Saccharomyces cerevisiae S288C: one gene and its partners. The protein of the gene in region 1 interacts with the protein of each later gene in a pairwise test. Each region holds a gene or a part of one and is shown in the gene's direction. Other genes may lie near its edges.

Region 1 (4,035 bases):
CACTAGTAACCCTCAATCTCTAAATAACTTATATTGTCATCTGTAAGGCAGCAAAATCCAAGATGGGCAATGTATATAGGTATATAGTTTAGTATTGTCATCTCATAGAATATCAACTGCATAATATACATGTATATATAATTTCCCATTCATTTAGAGGCTTCTTTTTTCGTCTGTATCGCTGAACCTTATGCCGGTTAAATCTAACAAAATTTTTTTGAACTGGAGGAACTAAAAAAAAAAATATTAATCTTGACTAATATACTAATCAGTCACTTTACATCTTAATGAAACCGAAAGAATCACTGATAAAATGTCCGACTCCGACTCCGACTCCGATTATGAATTGTAAGTACAGGATATTTTCAACACAGTAACGTAGAATTACTAACTAACACGAAACTTAATAGGACACTTTCTGCTAATGCCCTCGCTGCCCTTGAAGAATTCAAAAGAGAGGAACAACAACATCAAGAAGCCTTTCAAAAGCTTTACGACGAAACGGATGAAGACTTCCAAAAGAAAAAAAAAGAAGAAGGGATGAAGCTTTTCAAGGAAGATTGGCAGCTTTCCCAGTTTTGGTACAGCGATGACACAGCCGCAATTTTAGCAGATGCCATATTGGAAGGTGCGGACGAAAACACTGTAATTGCAATAGTTAGTGCGCCATCCGTCTATGCTGCCATTCAAAAGAAACCTACTAATGAAATTCCAACCGAACATATCTACTTGTTCGAATTTGATAAGAGATTCGAGTTGTTAGCTGGAAGAGATCATTTCTTTTTTTATGATTACAATAAACCACTGGACTTCAGTGATGAAATTAAAGGAAAAGTTGATAGATTGTTAATTGACCCACCTTTTTTAAATGAAGATTGTCAAACAAAGTGTATGTATATCATAAACATATCCCTACTCATTTTTTAATCTTTTTTCCAGTATCTTTTCATCTTACTAACTGTTATTCATTGATATAAAATAGCCTCTATCACTGCAAAGTGTTTATTAGCGCCAAATGACAACTCTAAAACTAAGAAAGGAGTTTTTAAGCACCGCCTCATAAGTTGTACTGGTGAAAGAATGTCTGAAGTCATATCCAAAGTTTATTCTGACACAAGAATAACAACTTTTCTTCCTGAACATTCTAATGGTTTGAGTAACGAATTTAGGTGCTACGCAAATTTTGAATGTAGTTCATGGAAATTTGCTTCTTGAGCTTTTTAAGAGCTTCGATAAATTTGAAAATTAATTGTACTACATAAAAAATATGTAAACATCAATATATATAATATAATCACATTTCAAATATATCACGTGTTATATTTACTATATAAAAATTCAATAAATAAAAAGTTAGAAGATAAAAATTATATTATACATATTTTTATTTTTATTATAATTTTTGTTTTTGCCTTCCGAAAAGAAAATAGTTTTTTGTATTACGGAAATTACAGAAAAATGTTTAATTTTGATTTCATATTTTTTCTTTCTTTGAAAGAATATTGACGACAAAGTATTGGATAATTATAATGCAAGGAAAGGATATTTGTAGATCTTCGGTTCAATGAAAGTTAATGCGGTATGAATATTGCTTTCTCCAGGACCTTTTTTTTTTTTTAGAGGCTATTTTATTGTCGGTGTTTGTGGATTTTATATTTCTCGGTCCGATAGTCCCTATAGATCGTTTATTGTTCTCTCGAGAAATGGTATCGTTTAAAAATCTCATATAAGCCTGCAAGGAAAAGATTATGCTGCAGCTATAAAATAGAATAGACAACAATATAGATTGTCAATTTTGTCCAATTTTATTTGCAACTCTACCTGGAAGGGCAAACAAAAATAAATATGTCAAAGATAGATTCAGTTTTAATTATCGGTGGTTCTGGTTTTCTTGGATTGCACTTAATTCAGCAATTTTTTGATATTAATCCTAAGCCAGACATCCACATTTTTGATGTTAGAGATCTCCCTGAAAAACTTTCAAAACAGTTTACTTTTAATGTAGACGACATAAAATTTCATAAGGGTGATTTAACATCACCTGATGATATGGAAAACGCAATTAACGAAAGTAAAGCAAATGTTGTTGTTCATTGTGCTTCTCCAATGCATGGTCAAAATCCAGATATTTATGACATAGTGAATGTTAAGGGAACCCGTAACGTGATAGATATGTGCAAGAAATGTGGCGTTAATATACTTGTATATACTTCCTCTGCTGGTGTTATTTTTAATGGGCAAGATGTGCACAATGCAGACGAAACCTGGCCAATCCCAGAAGTTCCTATGGATGCGTACAATGAGACTAAAGCTATCGCCGAAGATATGGTCTTGAAGGCGAATGATCCAAGCAGTGATTTCTATACTGTTGCTCTTCGTCCAGCTGGTATTTTTGGCCCAGGTGATAGGCAATTAGTACCTGGTCTAAGACAGGTTGCGAAATTGGGGCAGTCGAAGTTCCAAATTGGTGATAATAACAATCTATTTGATTGGACTTATGCTGGAAATGTTGCTGACGCGCATGTGTTAGCTGCACAGAAACTTCTCGATCCAAAAACAAGAACTGCTGTCTCGGGTGAAACTTTTTTCATTACCAATGATACCCCCACCTATTTTTGGGCCTTGGCCCGTACTGTGTGGAAGGCAGATGGTCATATTGATAAACATGTTATTGTTTTGAAAAGGCCAGTTGCAATTTGTGCAGGTTATCTTTCAGAATGGGTATCCAAGATGCTGGGTAAAGAGCCAGGTTTGACTCCATTCAGAGTCAAGATTGTGTGTGCATACCGTTATCACAACATTGCTAAGGCCAAAAAGTTGCTAGGCTACACACCAAGAGTTGGTATTGAAGAAGGAATTAACAAAACGTTGGCCTGGATGGACGAAGGTTTGTAATGGCAATCGTTAGGAGCTTTTTGATCCGATTATCGAAAGATAGTATGTTGAAATAGCATATCTGATACGCACCGTATATATTTATTCTGTCTTTATAGATGAATAATAAGAATTGAAACACCTAAAACATCTTGATGACTAGGTTAGTATATATATGTATACACTCATTTAATGACTACACTATGAAGCGTCGGGGTAATGCATGTAAATAAATAGAAATAAATCATTGAAACAACGAAATTCTCATGTATGCCTGCTAAGGATTCAATTTTTTGATATGTACGGTCATAATACTTTCTGCTTAACAAAAAACGAGCGTAAACTTTTCATTTGCCATACACAAATTATAATGAGAAGAGTAACTTGAGTTACCGTCCACCACATTGCGCGAGAATTCACAGACTCTGATATGTCTCTAAAGGATTCTTCACGTTCTCTCATCAGTTGTTGCTCTCTCCTGATATCCACGATCTTAGAATTCAATATACTGACTTTTCCGTGCAAACTTTCCAAGGTTTCTTTTCTTTGCATGTCCAACATTGCTTCAAAACCGACTTCAAATTCGATTTCTAACTTTGTTTTGGTTTTCCCTACCCAGTTATTTACCCTAGACTGTAAACAGATCTTATATTCTCCAGATTCCAAAGCTAGAAAGCTGAAGTCACCGGAAGGAGAGCCCTGTTGGTGGACTACCCTATGATTATTATCAAAGACTTCTTCCACATCTATGACAATGCCATAGTCATTATAACTGGGAAGCGCATAATCTGCCAACTTATCATCGTAAACTTCCAAATTGTAAGAACCTTTTAAAAGGGTGTCTTTGGATAGTTCCTTCAGGAAGCATTTTCTGTCTCCACCATAACCATAGAAGTAAAACGCGGAAACTCTGAATGGCAATAAAACGAATGCCAGGAAGATGTAGTGTGATAACATTGGCAAATCTAGATCCTTTCAGATTGAGGCGATAAGGAAGAAAGCGCCAACAATCTGTTCACAACCTCACCAATAAAGTCTATCAGTAGAGATTTTAACTATACACCCCATATCTTGTTGTGTCGATATTGGTTTCTTACCCGAAGAACGAGTTTCTAATTCCACGACGTTTTTTTATCCCACACAAAATGGTTTTTTGCACCG
Region 2 (6,545 bases), on another chromosome or scaffold:
CAGCTAACGAAGAATCTTCCAGTTGAAAAATTTTTTTGAGTACTATCGTCTTGGCTCTTTGATAAAACACTTCAGATTGTTGAAAAAGCTCAGTTTCTGATTTGTATGAAATCAAAGATCCCAATGCAGCGATTGCAAATACCAATTCTTCGGAACAATAGTAACTTTTAGTGTTAGTATCACCGAAGAAAGCACTTAAGAAAGTTTCTCTATGAATGAAAAGGTAATGTCCCGGGTATAGCCATTTGAAAAAGAGTGACAACGATCTTAAGATAAGGGGACTTCTTGATAAATTTTTTAGGCTGACCTGCTGTTGCTGATATCTTGTGCTTCCATCCGTCTTCTTTTTTATTATAGACAAGGAATTTGATGGATATATACTATTTGTGCCAACTGGTGGAGGGCTCTCGGAAGGCATTTTCTTGGTGAACGCATCAGACTCATTCTCATCGTTGCTTTCAGATGATGGTAGTGCTGATTGTGCTGTTTCGCCATACTTTAAGATTTTTTCATTAGGAGCATCACCATGATCACTGTTGTTTTTTAACGAGGAGAGAGCATTGCTAGCAATTGTGGAAGACGAGGAACTTAATATTTGCAACTGTTCTTTCAAAGACCGAATCTGGCTCTGTAAAGCTTCTACGTAAGTCGTAGAATATCTTTTGTTCCTTAAGTCTTGTTGAGTGAATACACATTCGGTACGAAACTTGATACAGTTTGAACAAGGCTTTTCCATGTTACATTTCCTTCTTCTTCTACGGCAATTCTGGCATGCTAGTTTTCTCTTCCTGGGCACGTTGTTATTATTCTGGTCATTATCTGTCACAGATTTCTTTAAACTGGACGGAAGGGAGGGTGTTACCGTTGTTGTTAAAGGTGGAGGTGAAGGCTCCAACATCATTGCTGCGATTGTGTAGAGCTTCGAGTTTTAAAAGGGCTATTTTTGAAAACTTACGGCGATGTCAACTTGTTGATTTTGCTTTGTTTCGTTCGGGATGGATCGGAACATCCGCTCACATATGAGAGGTTTACACTCTTGATGTATATGTTGCTCTATCTTGTATACGGTTAAGTAAAGTGATGTATTATGTATATGTATGTATTTATATATATATATATATATATGCGTGGTTTTCCATATTGTATTTTTCTTCTCTACTCTATATAGGCATTACTTTGACAGGAACGAGACTAAAGAAGAGGCAAAGTGCTGCGGGTTGTCCAGGAAAAGATTATGGCCAGCATCAGGGACTTCAACGTAGCTAGCCTTTGCCTTGTTTTTTAGCATTGATTCAGTAGTCAAGTAGCCCGCATATTTATCCATCCAATCGTGCTCGCCATACATGAACATGACAGGCGTTGCTGGGTTCAAAAAACGAACGTTGTTTATTATCGGATCTCTAGCGATCAGATTCCTTTCAAACAAATGGGTGAACACCTTGATTGTCTGTGGTTGCACCGTCTGGTTCTTCCCGACAAATGAGTGCAAAAGATAGTCCTTATATATCTGATCCGGAACTTTTACGTATGCGGTGGAGATGTAGTTCGAGCACAATTTGGAGCCTATGGGTCCCATCCACTTCAAAACGTTTAGCTGGTTTTCAAAGATAAACCGCGGTACGTTCAGCTTTCTTGTATAATATCGGGACGATGGGTCGGTAAACGTAAGTGGATAGGTGGTGTTGGGCTCCCATTTGTGGGTGATAGCATGTATACTGTTTTCCACACCAAGAGGAGATATGAGACACAGTTTCTCAATGGAATCAGGGTACTTGAGGGCGTATTTGAATGAAATATATCCTCCGAATGAATGGCCCACCACGTTTATTTTGCGAAGCTTGTTATCCTTCCGCCATTGCTCTATCCTGTCTACGAAGTAGCTTTCGTACTGCTCCAGGTGTGACTTGATGTCCTCTGCTGGGGGGCGCTTCTCTATCACAGGGATTACTACGTCATCTTCTATATGCTTAAACCTGAGAGACTTGATCTTCTTGGTTTTGTTCACTTGCAATGCTGGCGCCTCTGAGGCACCATTGGCTGGCAAGTCGATGGCATATAGATCTTTAATGTTGTCTGACAGGTTCTCAAACGTCCTGTAGAACGCCATCGACGAGGCAGCGTATCCATGGATTAGTACTGTAGGCGTGCACACTTTGTTCGCACGCTTATTGTGGAAATGCCACTGGTTAATCCCGCCTGGAGTCATCGTGTTATTAACGGACCCACGCACAGTGGTGCTATCCATAATTTGCTGCTGCAGGGCCTTCAGGCCCTGCACGCTAGCACACACCTTGGCGTCTGCAGTAGTGGTCTCCTTCTCAGTTTTGCTGCACCATTTGAAAGTGTTTGTCCACATTCTACTGAAGAAAACTACGCTTACGTATGTATATGTCCTGAACAATGAGAGAAAGACCTGCGAATATACTTCTACTACTCCACGTACAAAAAAGAGCACGCTGCTTTATTTATACTTTTGTGCCACAAGAATGATCAACATCAACATAAATATCAACTAGTATCTGCAACACATCTGCTCCACGGAACTAAACCCGTTGAGCAGTGCCCCGTGGAAACGTAAACTATCGCAAATTGGGATTAACAAGCCAAAAACAGCCAAGCAAGATTCACGAAACCGCGCCTCGTTTGGACCCCGAAGGCCCATTTAACGGCCGGCCGTTACAAGCAAGATCGGCAGAGCAAACCACTCCCCAGCACCACAGCACATCACTGCACGAGCAACAATAACTAGAACATGGCAGATAGCGAGGATACCTCTGTGATCCTGCAGGGCATCGACACAATCAACAGCGTGGAGGGCCTGGAAGAAGATGGTTACCTCAGCGACGAGGACACGTCACTCAGCAACGAGCTCGCAGATGCACAGCGTCAATGGGAAGAGTCGCTGCAACAGTTGAACAAGCTGCTCAACTGGGTCCTGCTGCCCCTGCTGGGCAAGTATATAGGTAGGAGAATGGCCAAGACTCTATGGAGTAGGTTCATTGAACACTTTGTATAAGTGTTTGTTGTTTATGTATCCGCATATAGCAGTTATAACAGATAAATGGCACTTTTCGCACACCCGTTGTTTTATCTCCGATAGTACGTGGGCCTTTATTTATGGTCGTTTAACGAAAGAACGGCATCTTGAATTGAGCAGGTATTTAAAAGATAGGACGAGAAACAAGCACATGATCTGTGTCGAAAAAAAGTAGCAAAGAGAAAAAGTAGGAGGATAGGATGAACAGGAAAGTAGCTATCGTAACGGGTACTAATAGTAATCTTGGTCTGAACATTGTGTTCCGTCTGATTGAAACTGAGGACACCAATGTCAGATTGACCATTGTGGTGACTTCTAGAACGCTTCCTCGAGTGCAGGAGGTGATTAACCAGATTAAAGATTTTTACAACAAATCAGGCCGTGTAGAGGATTTGGAAATAGACTTTGATTATCTGTTGGTGGACTTCACCAACATGGTGAGTGTCTTGAACGCATATTACGACATCAACAAAAAGTACAGGGCGATAAACTACCTTTTCGTGAATGCTGCGCAAGGTATCTTTGACGGTATAGATTGGATCGGAGCGGTCAAGGAGGTTTTCACCAATCCATTGGAGGCAGTGACAAATCCGACATACAAGATACAACTGGTGGGCGTCAAGTCTAAAGATGACATGGGGCTTATTTTCCAGGCCAATGTGTTTGGTCCGTACTACTTTATCAGTAAAATTCTGCCTCAATTGACCAGGGGAAAGGCTTATATTGTTTGGATTTCGAGTATTATGTCCGATCCTAAGTATCTTTCGTTGAACGATATTGAACTACTAAAGACAAATGCCTCTTATGAGGGCTCCAAGCGTTTAGTTGATTTACTGCATTTGGCCACCTACAAAGACTTGAAAAAGCTGGGCATAAATCAGTATGTAGTTCAACCGGGCATATTTACAAGCCATTCCTTCTCCGAATATTTGAATTTTTTCACCTATTTCGGCATGCTATGCTTGTTCTATTTGGCCAGGCTGTTGGGGTCTCCATGGCACAATATTGATGGTTATAAAGCTGCCAATGCCCCAGTATACGTAACTAGATTGGCCAATCCAAACTTTGAGAAACAAGACGTAAAATACGGTTCTGCTACCTCTAGGGATGGTATGCCATATATCAAGACGCAGGAAATAGACCCTACTGGAATGTCTGATGTCTTCGCTTATATACAGAAGAAGAAACTGGAATGGGACGAGAAACTGAAAGATCAAATTGTTGAAACTAGAACCCCCATTTAATATATCTCTGCGTACATATGTATATATATATATGTGTGTATATACATGTATGTCTGTATAGAAAACGCATATCAACTGATATATATACACGTGAAGCAAAAAAGGCATTGCCTCTGTCAGAGAAACGAACTATCCTCGTTGCTATAGTGTCTTCTGCACTTATCGCGTAGACTTTCTATTGGCACTCTGTCATGGCATTTAATCTTGTACACATTCTTTAATTCTTCTTGCAAAAGAAGGTACTCTTCATGCAAATGATGACTTTGGAGTGAATTGACTAATCCTGAGTCGTTCCAGAAACTTTTTAAGGCGTTCGTTTCATGATTTATTATGTCATCCAACCGTCTCATATTAGGTTTCGAATTTGTTACAAATTCTCGCCTTGATAACCTCTCCAGGTCTTCTTTGTTGCATCCAGGTACACTCTCTAACAACATTGAACCATTGCCCTCCGGATTCGCACTGTCATATTTATTAGCCTCTTCGCCGCACATGATGTCAATATCGGGTCGATAGCTGTCTATGCCGTCTAGATGGCCCACCTTATGAAACACAAGACAATGTGCTGCCCTTTCGGCTTTCAAAAAACTGTCAATTCTACTTTCCCTTAGCGTATTGCGCTCACAAAACGGTGAATAATCGTATTGCTTTTCTTCCTCGATGTGGCTCAAAGTATTCAGATAGTCGACTTCGTCTACGTCCATATTTATCCCATAGAGATCATCTGCAGTCCTCTCCTCTAGTACTTCGCCTGTTATGGGCATCGAATCATCATTTATTACCCTTGTCGACCTTTTCCGTAGCGGTGTGGTAAAATTGTTAAAGTTGGCTTTGTTGAACCTTGGTGTTTTCCAGGGCGGCAATGACGGTAGTTGAAACAACTTGCCTTCGTTCTTATCACCATTTTGGTTCATCTTACTTTGTCACAGCTATTTCTTTCCTTCCTGAATTTGTCCTTCCAAACCTAGTTCCCTGTTCTTAATTTCCTTTTATTTAGGTTTTTTTTTTTGTTTTGTCAAGAGCCGCGCACAAAATATGGTATTATTATAGAAAAGTTGGACTTAAAAGCTTGAAAAAGCTTAGATTTTATATTCATATGCTGGTATATATGTACGACTAAATAATATAAATTTGATTATAACAATCCACTCAAGGTCAGCTTCTCCAGGAATGGTGAAAGATCTTCACGACGTATTTCAATTATGGAACTTTCAAAATTATCTATTCTCACTTTAGCATCCGTTTCTGCAGTTATTTGTTGAAACGCCATGCTGAAATTATTCAAAATAGGTTTTTTTGTGTGTATCGTGTCTAGTCCGCGAGGATACCTAGGTGTTAACCCAGCAACCAAGTAAGTGTCCGTATTTTCATCTATGCTGGCAAGCACCATGGGCAACAATTGCTTGTCTTCAGATTCCGCACAGCATTCTATGAGCCAATTTCCTAATCTTAATAACGTCAATGGGTTTCTGTACAAGTCTAAATCGGGTCCGTCTTGTAAGACGCATAATCTATAAATTCTTAAATGCTTGATTAATTTCTTCTCCAATATAGCAACCCCGGTATTAAAAATTGCTCTCTGTAAGTCTTGTGCTAGTTGAATGCCACGGTTTAATAGTTCCACCTTTCTGTCATCTAGAGCATCCCAACTGAGCCAAAAATTCGAAACCCATCTTTTTCTCAAATTCGTCAATTTTTGAGCGCTGTTATCTTCTTCTTCCTCTCCATCTGTATCGTCATTATTGTCATTATTTATTTTCACACTATCCTTATCAGTTGAATTACCTACTTCCAAAAGAGCTGTTAGTGCTTCGACAAATTCACTGGCACTTATGGACCCACGATATCCAAGAGTTCTAACAAACCCATCTCTAATTATATCTTGCAACCCATAACGATCCAAATTTTTGTCAAATATTATCCCAAGTTCTCTCTTAATAGAATGATCCATGTATAACCATGTTTCTTGTGCAGTACTTAATGGTATACCCATTCTAGCAAACATCTTATGCAATCTCTTTTTCCCATTTTCATTCCATAGGGATAGTTTGGCATTGACATAGTTAGAATAATAAAAACTGTCGTACAATGAAGAATGCCTCAGTAAGAAAAGGTAGTAATCCGGTTGGATGTTTAACGTCAATGTATCAGGGGTCTTTACTGAGTTTCTACTGCTTGGTGTGAGACGCTTCACTTCATCTTGCAATAAGGGGTATAATCGATTGTAAACTTGAGCATATGCTATATCTAACGAGGTCGTACCA
Region 3 (5,948 bases), on another chromosome or scaffold:
TGTTACATAATTCATCAATTTTTTTTATGTTAGTTCATCTTCAAAATCTGCTTTAACTGGTTATTATTAAAATATAGTAAATCTAGATCTCTCAATCTGAGTGCTTACCGACTAAAAGCGCAGAAACTGTATTCTTATTATTTTTTTTTTTTCACGGCAGCTAATTGTACTGAGTTATATTAATAGTACTGGAATAACACCAGGTAACGACTAAGGAACCAAATAAAGTATGGACTATAAGCATAATTTTGCTACAAGTCCAGATTCTTTCCTAGATGGAAGGCAGAACCCACTCTTATATACAGATTTTCTATCTTCAAACAAGGAGCTTATATACAAACAACCATCGGGTCCTGGTCTTGTGGATTCTGCCTACAATTTTCATCACCAAAACAGTTTGCATGACCGTAGCGTGCAAGAAAACCTGGGTCCAATGTTTCAACCCTTTGGCGTCGACATCAGCCATCTTCCCATTACCAACCCTCCCATTTTTCAAAGTTCTTTACCAGCGTTTGATCAGCCCGTGTACAAAAGACGCATATCTATCTCCAATGGTCAGATTAGTCAATTAGGCGAAGACTTAGAAACGGTTGAAAATCTTTACAACTGTCAGCCTCCGATCCTATCGTCTAAGGCGCAACAGAATCCCAATCCTCAACAGGTGGCAAATCCAAGCGCAGCCATATACCCAAGCTTTAGCTCGAACGAATTGCAAAACGTGCCACAACCACACGAACAAGCTACAGTCATACCCGAAGCTGCACCTCAAACAGGTAGCAAGAATATCTACGCTGCAATGACCCCGTATGATAGCAATATAAAGCTTAACATACCCGCAGTAGCAGCCACTTGTGACATTCCTTCTGCCACGCCTTCTATCCCATCTGGCGATTCCACAATGAATCAGGCTTACATCAACATGCAACTCCGATTACAAGCTCAAATGCAAACTAAGGCATGGAAAAACGCTCAATTGAATGTGCATCCATGTACTCCAGCCTCTAATTCTTCCGTTTCCTCTTCTTCTTCCTGCCAAAACATTAATGATCATAATATCGAAAATCAATCCGTCCATTCTTCAATTTCCCATGGCGTTAATCACCACACTGTTAATAATTCCTGCCAAAATGCCGAGTTGAATATTTCAAGCAGCCTTCCATACGAATCGAAATGCCCTGATGTCAATTTAACACATGCCAACTCAAAACCACAATACAAGGATGCCACTTCTGCACTGAAAAACAATATTAATAGTGAGAAAGACGTACATACCGCGCCCTTCTCCTCTATGCACACTACAGCAACCTTCCAAATAAAGCAGGAAGCTAGACCCCAAAAAATAGAGAACAATACTGCAGGCTTGAAAGACGGTGCTAAAGCTTGGAAGCGTGCAAGGCTACTAGAACGAAACAGAATTGCCGCTTCCAAGTGTCGACAGAGAAAGAAAATGTCACAATTACAACTTCAAAGGGAATTTGACCAAATAAGCAAAGAAAACACAATGATGAAGAAAAAAATTGAAAATTACGAAAAATTGGTTCAAAAAATGAAGAAAATTTCGAGGTTGCACATGCAAGAATGCACAATTAATGGTGGTAATAATAGTTATCAAAGCCTTCAAAACAAGGATAGTGATGTTAACGGGTTTCTGAAAATGATTGAAGAAATGATACGCAGCTCCAGTCTATATGATGAATAAAAGTATTGCGCATACTTCTTATGGGAGATCCAAATTCCCAGTACATTAGTTTGACTCTCCTTCCTTAATGTTTTCCTCTGTACGATTATTTATGTTTAAACGATTTATTTTACTATGTATGTATTTCCTTTCATTTTCTTTCGGAGTCATATATATTGCTGGGCGGCTAAATGTTTCCGACTTGTAAAAGAAAACATAACAAACATCTTGTAGTTGTGAAACAGTTTCATTAAATAATCTTTTAGAAGAGTAAGGACATGAGTAGAGGCAAACTGGAAGATATGGAACAAAAGGAAACATCGGAAGTTGACTGGATAATCGTACGTGAAATTGTCACATCCTTAACCTATTTTCTCTTTACTAACTTTTAGTAAGAGGTGTAATCTCCTCGAATATTATCTATGACAGTGTTTTGCTTTAATTCAATCCAGGAATCCTACGTTGTGGAAGAGGGCACTTTCAAGAAAGAAAGGAGATGTCGAAGATGTAGGTGCTCTCAAGAGTGAAAAAAATTTAAAAATAAATCCTCGGGAAAACTCAAAACATATATACAAATGGGTTGCGCCTTTCGAAAATGGATTTTTGAATAATAAATCACTGTTTGCTCATCTGGAACCTATATACAATTTCCTTTGCCAGAATAAGTACAAAAGCTTCGAAGATGCAGTTGGTTTAAAGGAGCTGCAATCATTTAGCAAAGATGTATCAACTGCTGATATAAACAACTGGTTTTTACCGAGATATAAAATTCTGCTAAAAATCCTGAGCTTAAAAACAAAAGAAATTGACTTTAGAGGGTTATCGCAAGTGTTTCAAACACTCCAAATCTTGTTAGTTTCTCATTATTCGCATCGCATAGATTCTGATTCTTCTTTTAAGAGGACACTGATAGACGTTCATGTTTTCAATTTCATCGCCAAGTTTCTGTTTAATAGAATTTTATTGAAGAAGAACCAAAACGATCCAAAATGGCTTCAAAACTTTTACGACCAGGGAGATGGCAAACATTTATGTGATAAAGTTGACTACAAGCGCTTGTGTTCGTTGCATTTTACCCTTATTTACTCTATTATTAACATTCAACTCATCAAAATCAAGACAAACCAAACATTTGAACCGCAGATATTAAAATACGTATCTGTTCTGAAATTAATTGAACACATACTTATCATCATCGAAAGTCTGATACATGTACTTATTAGATTTGTATCGAAGCATAAACTAATATGCATCAACCGGAAAAAGGCGTACTGTCGAGTATACCTCGAAAGAGAATTGAGTTTGAAGAAAACCTACTTAAAGAACTTTTACAGTGTAATAAGCGGTGTCCCAGAAAAAGAGTTAGGGGGTCTATTGAAAATACTCAAGATAGTTATTCTATCATTGCTCGAGACATTTGAAAGCATTGAATGGCAGCACTTAAAACCTTTCCTGGAAAAATTTCCGGCTCATGAAATATCGCTTCAGAAGAAAAGGAAATATATACAGGCGGCCTTATTAATTACTGCCGAAAGAAATTTGATAGCGCGCTTTCGATTGTCAAGATGGTTCAATGAGACAGAAAACATTTAATTTTTCTTTTGCAGTAGGAGGCGCATTATAAAACACAAAAATATCGAAAGCTCTTTCATTTCGGGGACAACAACTTCAGTTGAAAATTACAGTGAACACAACATCTTCCCCAACAGACCTACATTAAAACGCTTCTTCCGGACTTGCCCATGATTAACCTAATCTTATACGAACTGAATTAAACTTTACGGTATTACCGATAGGAAACTTCTATTTTATGATTTTTTCGTTCGGGGACGGAACGAACAGGAAACAAAAAAAAAGGTACGATCCATTGTATTCTCTACCCCCGTATATAAAACTAAGCTGAACAAGCCTGTTGTTTTGCTTTACTATTGCTACTATTTTTGACGTAAACGCATTGACTAATTTCAGGTTTTTATATTCTTGACACTAGCTAGACCATAGTATCGAAGGATTCAAATACACTAAAGTATCAGATAATGTTCAGCCTACAAGACGTAATAACTACAACCAAGACCACCTTGGCAGCAATGCCAAAAGGTTACTTACCAAAATGGTTACTTTTCATTTCCATTGTATCAGTCTTCAATTCTATCCAGACTTACGTTTCTGGTTTAGAATTGACACGTAAAGTCTACGAAAGAAAACCCACTGAAACAACCCATTTGAGTGCAAGAACTTTCGGTACTTGGACCTTTATTTCCTGTGTTATCAGATTCTATGGGGCTATGTACTTGAATGAACCACACATTTTCGAATTGGTCTTCATGTCTTATATGGTTGCCCTATTCCACTTCGGCTCTGAATTATTGATCTTTAGAACTTGTAAGTTGGGAAAGGGATTCATGGGTCCATTGGTTGTCTCAACCACCTCTTTGGTTTGGATGTACAAACAAAGAGAATACTACACTGGTGTTGCTTGGTAATTCTGATGTAAGGGCAAGCATATCCTGTAAAAAAAATTATATAGAGATGATTTATTTATATAATGCCTATAGCAACCTTTATCCAAACCTTCCGTACATTATTTAACAGCAATTGTTTATCATTCATGATTATTTCTCAAAAAGCTGCCAATTTGGCTTCATTTCTGTAAGTATCCCTACCTCTCTCCTCTAACGCAGATATTTCTGTGCACGTGATCTCGTTGGCTTTTTTTTCGGCCGAAATTTTCACAGGCTAAGGCCGAAAAAGAAAGAAAATTTTCAGAGGAAAAAGAAAATTAAACGACCTCGAAGCCGTATTTTAGATTTTCCAATCTCTTATTTAGTAACGTGGTTTATTAACTCCATGATTCCATTCCTATTTGTTTTTCTTTCTTTCTGAAAATCCTCTTCTCCTCGAAATAACCCAACTGACAAAAAGAACAATTCCCAATGTCTGCTCCAGCTCAAAACTACAAAATCGCTGATATCTCTTTGGCTGCCTTCGGTAGAAAGGAAATCGAATTGGCTGAACATGAAATGCCAGGTTTGATGGCCATCAGAAAGGCTTACGGTGACGTCCAACCTTTGAAAGGCGCCCGTATTGCTGGTTGTTTGCACATGACCATTCAAACTGCTGTTTTAATTGAAACTTTAGTTGCTTTGGGTGCCGAAGTTACCTGGTCCTCTTGTAACATCTATTCGACTCAAGATCATGCCGCCGCTGCTATTGCCGCTTCCGGTGTTCCAGTTTTTGCCTGGAAGGGTGAAACTGAAGAAGAGTATTTGTGGTGTATTGAACAACAATTGTTTGCCTTCAAGGACAACAAGAAATTGAACTTGATCTTAGATGATGGTGGTGATTTAACCACTTTAGTTCATGAAAAGCACCCTGAAATGCTGGAAGACTGCTTTGGTCTTTCCGAAGAAACTACCACCGGTGTTCACCACTTATACAGAATGGTCAAAGAAGGCAAGTTAAAGGTTCCTGCCATTAACGTTAACGACTCCGTCACTAAGTCCAAGTTTGACAACTTGTACGGCTGTAGAGAATCCTTAGTCGACGGTATTAAGAGAGCCACTGATGTCATGTTGGCTGGTAAGGTTGCCGTTGTTGCTGGTTACGGTGATGTCGGTAAGGGTTGTGCTGCTGCCTTAAGAGGAATGGGTGCTCGTGTCTTGGTTACCGAAATTGACCCAATCAACGCTTTACAAGCTGCCATGGAAGGCTACCAAGTTGTTACCATGGAAGATGCATCCCACATTGGTCAAGTTTTCGTTACCACCACTGGTTGTAGAGATATTATCAACGGTGAACATTTCATCAACATGCCAGAAGATGCCATTGTTTGTAACATTGGCCATTTCGATATCGAAATTGATGTCGCCTGGTTAAAGGCTAACGCTAAAGAATGTATTAACATCAAACCACAAGTCGACCGTTACTTGTTGTCTTCTGGTAGACACGTCATCTTGTTGGCTAACGGTAGATTAGTTAACTTGGGTTGTGCTACTGGTCACTCATCTTTCGTTATGTCTTGTTCCTTCTCTAACCAAGTCTTAGCTCAAATTGCTTTGTTCAAGTCTAACGATAAGTCTTTCAGAGAAAAGCACATTGAATTCCAAAAGACAGGCCCATTCGAAGTTGGTGTCCACGTTTTGCCAAAGATCTTGGATGAAGCTGTCGCTAAGTTCCACTTGGGCAACTTGGGTGTTAGATTGACTAAATTGAGTAAAGTCCAATCTGAATACTTGGGTATTCCAGAAGAAGGTCCATTCAAGGCCGACCA
Region 4 (6,281 bases), 350 kb from region 1:
TCCAGGTTAATTATGGAAGATATAGAAGGATACGAACCACATATCACTCAAGAGTTGATAGACCGTGGCCATGCAAGACGTATGGGCCACTTGGAAAACTACTTTGCTGTTTTGAGTAGGCAGAAAATGTACTCGAATTTTACTGTTTACGCGGAATTGAATAAAGGTGTTAATAAGAGACAACTAATGCTTGTCTTGAAAGTATTACTTCAAAAATACTCAACTCTTGCGCATACAATCATTCCTAAGCATTATCCTCATCATGAAGCGTACTACTCTAGCGAAGAGTACCTTAGTAAACCTTTTCCACAGCATGATTTCATAAAGGTGATTTCTCATCTTGAATTCGATGACTTGATTATGAATAATCAACCAGAATACAGAGAAGTCATGGAGAAAATCTCAGAACAGTTCAAAAAGGATGATTTCAAAGTCACCAATAGGTTAATCGAATTGATTAGCCCTGTAATCATACCTCTGGGTAATCCGAAGAGGCCTAATTGGAGATTGATTTGTTTACCAGGTAAGGATACTGATGGGTTTGAAACGTGGAAAAACTTCGTTTATGTCACTAACCACTGCGGCTCCGACGGTGTCAGTGGATCGAATTTTTTCAAAGATTTAGCTCTACTCTTTTGTAAAATCGAAGAAAAAGGGTTTGATTATGATGAAGAGTTCATCGAAGATCAAGTCATCATTGACTATGATCGAGACTACACTGAAATTTCTAAATTGCCAAAACCGATTACGGATCGTATTGACTACAAGCCAGCATTGACTTCATTACCCAAATTCTTTTTAACAACCTTCATTTATGAACATTGTAATTTTAAAACCTCCAGCGAATCTACACTTACAGCTAGATATAGCCCCTCTAGTAATGCTAATGCTAGTTACAATTACTTGTTGCATTTCAGTACTAAGCAAGTAGAACAAATCAGAGCTCAGATCAAGAAAAATGTTCACGATGGGTGCACCCTAACACCCTTCATTCAAGCGTGCTTTCTTGTAGCCCTGTATAGACTGGATAAGCTGTTCACAAAATCTCTTCTCGAGTATGGGTTCGATGTGGCTATTCCAAGCAACGCAAGAAGGTTTTTACCAAACGATGAAGAGTTAAGAGATTCTTATAAATACGGCTCCAACGTTGGAGGTTCGCATTACGCCTATCTAATCTCCTCATTCGACATTCCCGAAGGTGACAATGACAAGTTTTGGAGTCTTGTCGAATACTACTATGACCGCTTTTTAGAATCGTACGACAACGGTGACCACTTGATTGGTCTGGGGGTCCTACAACTTGATTTTATCGTTGAAAACAAGAATATAGACAGCCTTCTTGCCAACTCTTATTTGCACCAGCAAAGAGGCGGTGCAATCATCAGTAATACAGGACTTGTCTCGCAAGATACGACCAAGCCGTACTACGTTCGGGATTTAATCTTCTCGCAGTCTGCAGGCGCCTTGAGATTTGCGTTCGGCCTAAACGTTTGCTCCACAAACGTGAATGGTATGAACATGGACATGAGCGTGGTTCAGGGCACTCTACGGGATCGTGGCGAATGGGAATCGTTCTGCAAGCTCTTCTACCAAACCATCGGCGAATTTGCGTCGCTTTAATGCGATACTGCCGTAGCGGGCCTTCGTATAGCTCGGCCGAGCTCGTACAAAAGGCAAGCAGTGTATCGGACAGAGCTGATATAACACAATACGCTCGTAGTCGATGCATGCCGTGGCTGCTCTCGGTCGGGTATAAGTCTTAGACAATAGTCTTACCTCGCATGTATAATAAATCTTTTGTATTTAATCTATTATATGTTTCTATGCTTTTTTTTCCTATTGTTGTTTGCTTTTCCTTTTCCTTATTTCTTTCTAGCTTCTAATTTTCTTTCTTTTTTTTTTTTTTTTCATTGAAAATTATATATATATATATATATCAGAACAATTGTCCAGTATTGAACAATACAGGTTATTTCGAACAATTGAAAAAAAAAAATCACAGAAAAACATATCGAGAAAAGGGTCATGTCTGCTGTTAACGTTGCACCTGAATTGATTAATGCCGACAACACAATTACCTACGATGCGATTGTCATCGGTGCTGGTGTTATCGGTCCATGTGTTGCTACTGGTCTAGCAAGAAAGGGTAAGAAAGTTCTTATCGTAGAACGTGACTGGGCTATGCCTGATAGAATTGTTGGTGAATTGATGCAACCAGGTGGTGTTAGAGCATTGAGAAGTCTGGGTATGATTCAATCTATCAACAACATCGAAGCATATCCTGTTACCGGTTATACCGTCTTTTTCAACGGCGAACAAGTTGATATTCCATACCCTTACAAGGCCGATATCCCTAAAGTTGAAAAATTGAAGGACTTGGTCAAAGATGGTAATGACAAGGTCTTGGAAGACAGCACTATTCACATCAAGGATTACGAAGATGATGAAAGAGAAAGGGGTGTTGCTTTTGTTCATGGTAGATTCTTGAACAACTTGAGAAACATTACTGCTCAAGAGCCAAATGTTACTAGAGTGCAAGGTAACTGTATTGAGATATTGAAGGATGAAAAGAATGAGGTTGTTGGTGCCAAGGTTGACATTGATGGCCGTGGCAAGGTGGAATTCAAAGCCCACTTGACATTTATCTGTGACGGTATCTTTTCACGTTTCAGAAAGGAATTGCACCCAGACCATGTTCCAACTGTCGGTTCTTCGTTTGTCGGTATGTCTTTGTTCAATGCTAAGAATCCTGCTCCTATGCACGGTCACGTTATTCTTGGTAGTGATCATATGCCAATCTTGGTTTACCAAATCAGTCCAGAAGAAACAAGAATCCTTTGTGCTTACAACTCTCCAAAGGTCCCAGCTGATATCAAGAGTTGGATGATTAAGGATGTCCAACCTTTCATTCCAAAGAGTCTACGTCCTTCATTTGATGAAGCCGTCAGCCAAGGTAAATTTAGAGCTATGCCAAACTCCTACTTGCCAGCTAGACAAAACGACGTCACTGGTATGTGTGTTATCGGTGACGCTCTAAATATGAGACATCCATTGACTGGTGGTGGTATGACTGTCGGTTTGCATGATGTTGTCTTGTTGATTAAGAAAATAGGTGACCTAGACTTCAGCGACCGTGAAAAGGTTTTGGATGAATTACTAGACTACCATTTCGAAAGAAAGAGTTACGATTCCGTTATTAACGTTTTGTCAGTGGCTTTGTATTCTTTGTTCGCTGCTGACAGCGATAACTTGAAGGCATTACAAAAAGGTTGTTTCAAATATTTCCAAAGAGGTGGCGATTGTGTCAACAAACCCGTTGAATTTCTGTCTGGTGTCTTGCCAAAGCCTTTGCAATTGACCAGGGTTTTCTTCGCTGTCGCTTTTTACACCATTTACTTGAACATGGAAGAACGTGGTTTCTTGGGATTACCAATGGCTTTATTGGAAGGTATTATGATTTTGATCACAGCTATTAGAGTATTCACCCCATTTTTGTTTGGTGAGTTGATTGGTTAACTACAGCTTATAAGGGAGAGAGGATAGGAACCGTCAAACATTAAGCTGCACCTTTTTTTTTTATTACAGAAGTCGGCTTGGAAGGCTTGTATAGTACATTACGATAAACACATCTTATTTTTATTTATTACTTATTTATTTTACATATTTTCAAAAAAATTCACATATCATTTATTATTAACCGAAGTGTTTTATACTTTTTGTTCTTTCCTTAAAAATGCCTCCAACAGAAAAGGAAAAATGGCTTGATATGCTTCAAAATATGCATTGAGATTCATATTCGGTTATCAATTAACGATATTACTTCCTTAAGTGATATTAAATCAAGCTTGCCGGATTCTGCAGTCAGAATTATACATAATAGTATTTGTGCTCTCGTAAATCCTTTCAGAATTACACCATAGTAGTCTTTGTGAATGTTCTACTTATTAGAATAGATTATTGCTAGTTTATCTCACTTTTCATTCCCCATATCCCTTTTTTTGCTCATCCCCCGGGGTATTTTATCAAGATAAAATTTTATATACATGCAGTGCGCGATAACTCCTAGAGAGGCAGTAATAGCAAAACAAAGACAGTATAAGCATTATTTGGGTATGGAAAGACCATTGTGGGTACGTTGGTTGAAAGTCTATGCAATTGGTGGCGCTATTATTGGAAGCGGGTTTCTGCTTTTCAAGTACACAACGCCAACAGATCAACAGTTAATCAGCCAGCTTTCCCCAGAATTACGTTTACAATATGAGAGGGAGAAAAAACTACGTCAGTCGGAGCAGCAGGCTTTGATGAAAATTGTTAAGGAAACTTCTCAAAGTGACGATCCAATTTGGAAGACGGGCCCCCTTCAATCACCTTGGGAAAGGAACGGTGATAACGTTCAAAGCAGAGATCACTTTGCTAAGGTGAGGGCGGAGGAGGTGCAAAAAGAAGAGTTGGCTAGGATCAGAAATGAACTGTCTCAGCTAAGATCTGAAACGGAGGAGAAAACAAAGGAAATAGTCCAGGATAAGCAGGTTAAAAGCTGGTGGCGCTTCTGGTAGATGGGTCGGGTCACTCAATTAGGAAGGGCAGCTTGAACTTTTGCATCCTAAAACATACGTCTGTGTCATTTATGATATATTATTTATTTGTACACTGTAAATAGGTTTAAAAATATAACTTCATACTTATTTTTAGCTATTTTAGTTCCCATACTTGGGGATGGAAAAAACATTGCGCAAGCCCGGAATCGAACCGGGGGCCCAACGATGGCAACGTTGGATTTTACCACTAAACCACTTGCGCTTGTTATTTATATGAGATTATTGCATCATGCAATGGGGTAATGTCAAGGTTCTTGACAATCCTAATATAAACAGTCTTAGGGAAGTAACCAGTTGTCAAAACGGTTTATCAGCTTGATTCACGGGATCTTACTTATCCTATATATTATATAAAATATGGATCATACTAAATGGTGGAAGCGCGGAATCTTGGATCTAAACCAATTGTTCAGATACTTATACGTTAGAGTAGGTTAGCTAAGGAAGGCAGAGTTTTATTTTCATGTTGCTCATTCTGTTCGTTTTGCTGTAAGGTTGTTTCATATGTGTTTTATGAACGTTTAGGATGATGTATTGTCATACTGAGGTATCCCATTCTGAGATACAACAGAGAAGGTTCCTTTATACTTACTACACTAGGTACCACTATTATAATTTCGAGATTTCATTGTCATTCGGGTTTATTTATTCATTTGAAGCCCAGAATGACAATTTTTATGAACGGAGCTCTTCAAATTACATTATAAAAGTATATACGAATATACCATGAAAGTAACACCTTCCGGTTCTCACTAAAAAACCTATTTTCAGCATTTATTTCTACTACAAGGAAAATGAGTCCGTTTAGTCATGCAAAATCTCTGCTCCGTACTACAGTTCTCGATGCTGATCTTGTTTTTTCATGTTTCTTTAAAATCTATTCATTTATACTATTTCGCGAATAAAGAAACTACATCTTCATCATCAATCCTGTGGTTTAAGCCGCACTTCTGAGGAGAATGTTTGGCAGAAGAACCCCAAACCAATGCGTATTTGAACTTATCTTTGAAATCCCTGTGGATACCATGACATAAGTCACCAATAGTGGAATTATTTCTTACCACTAGAGGATCATCAAATACTGGTCTAACACCTCTCTTCTTTGTATACACACGACTCAAGTTCAGCTGGTACCAAATTTCTTCAACGACGTCTTGTAATCCCAAATCCATTTCACAGGACATAACAACGGTGTTTGGCTCTCTGGCAAGTTTATCCACCTCTTCTAATGATACTGCATCTATCTTATTATACACATAAAGACATTTGACATAATTTCTATGTTGTTCGTTAATAACATCGATAAAATCATCAATCGTACATTGGTCATCTCTTACCAGAACTTCTGCATTATGGATACGATAATCTCTCAAGATCATTTTGATTGCCTGTTCGGTTAAATTGGTCTTTGGAGGGGAGGTAAACGTAACTTTCACGCCACCAGTTTCTTTTTTCTTATAGTAAATATTTGGTTTCTCTTTATTAAGCCTGATGCCTACATTTTCCAGCTCCTTCTCCAAAGATGCTCTTTGATGTTCACTCTTTGTGGCATCTAAAACCATTAATACTAGATCTGCGGTCCTTGCTGTTGCAACAACTTGCCTACCACGACCTTTACCCTGCGAAGCACCATAAATAATACCTGGAAGATCCACAATTTGGATTTCTGCACCTTGGTACTTC

What was found.
Region 2: the proteins of ERG26 (region 1) and ERG27 interact in a protein complementation assay, tested with the Saccharomyces cerevisiae proteins (one study listed by BioGRID).
Region 3: the proteins of ERG26 (region 1) and ERG28 interact in binary tests that used the Saccharomyces cerevisiae proteins (3 or more experiments, as listed by UniProt).
Region 4: the proteins of ERG26 (region 1) and ERG1 interact in a protein complementation assay, tested with the Saccharomyces cerevisiae proteins (one study listed by BioGRID).

Annotation. Positions count from the first base shown.
Region 1 is NC_001139.9:494,313-498,347, reverse strand, and holds ERG26 (sterol-4-alpha-carboxylate 3-dehydrogenase (decarboxylating)), read left to right. Parts: upstream 1-1,845; coding exon 1,846-2,895; downstream 2,896-4,035. Other genes in the region: EFM5 (protein-lysine N-methyltransferase), read left to right, coding at 314-348, 411-889, 983-1,215; ERP6 (Erp6p), read right to left, coding at 3,181-3,831. UniProt on the Saccharomyces cerevisiae protein: Sterol-4-alpha-carboxylate 3-dehydrogenase; part of the third module of ergosterol biosynthesis pathway that includes the late steps of the pathway.
Region 2 is NC_001144.5:338,573-345,117, forward strand, and holds ERG27 (3-keto-steroid reductase), read left to right. Parts: upstream 1-3,237; coding exon 3,238-4,281; downstream 4,282-6,545. Other genes in the region: CHA4 (Cha4p), read right to left, coding at 1-901; lysophosphatidic acid acyltransferase ICT1, read right to left, coding at 1,172-2,356; MIM2 (Mim2p), read left to right, coding at 2,753-3,016; APC9 (anaphase promoting complex subunit 9), read right to left, coding at 4,398-5,195; DNA replication initiation factor CDC45, read right to left, coding at 5,417-6,545. UniProt on the Saccharomyces cerevisiae protein: 3-keto-steroid reductase; part of the third module of ergosterol biosynthesis pathway that includes the late steps of the pathway. ERG27 is a catalytic component of the C-4 demethylation complex that catalyze the reduction of the keto group on the C-3.
Region 3 is NC_001137.3:235,783-241,730, reverse strand, and holds ERG28 (Erg28p), read left to right. Parts: upstream 1-3,714; coding exon 3,715-4,161; downstream 4,162-5,948. Other genes in the region: ACA1 (Aca1p), read left to right, coding at 230-1,699; MEI4 (Mei4p), read left to right, coding at 1,957-2,019, 2,108-3,271; SAH1 (adenosylhomocysteinase), read left to right, coding at 4,612-5,948. UniProt on the Saccharomyces cerevisiae protein: Part of the third module of ergosterol biosynthesis pathway that includes the late steps of the pathway.
Region 4 is NC_001139.9:844,168-850,448, reverse strand, and holds ERG1 (squalene monooxygenase), read left to right. Parts: upstream 1-2,025; coding exon 2,026-3,516; downstream 3,517-6,281. Other genes in the region: ATF2 (alcohol O-acetyltransferase), read left to right, coding at 13-1,620; YGR174W-A (uncharacterized protein), read right to left, coding at 3,708-3,794; CBP4 (Cbp4p), read left to right, coding at 4,044-4,556; RBG2 (Rbg2p), read right to left, coding at 5,489-6,281. UniProt on the Saccharomyces cerevisiae protein: Squalene epoxidase; part of the third module of ergosterol biosynthesis pathway that includes the late steps of the pathway. ERG1 catalyzes the epoxidation of squalene into 2,3-epoxysqualene.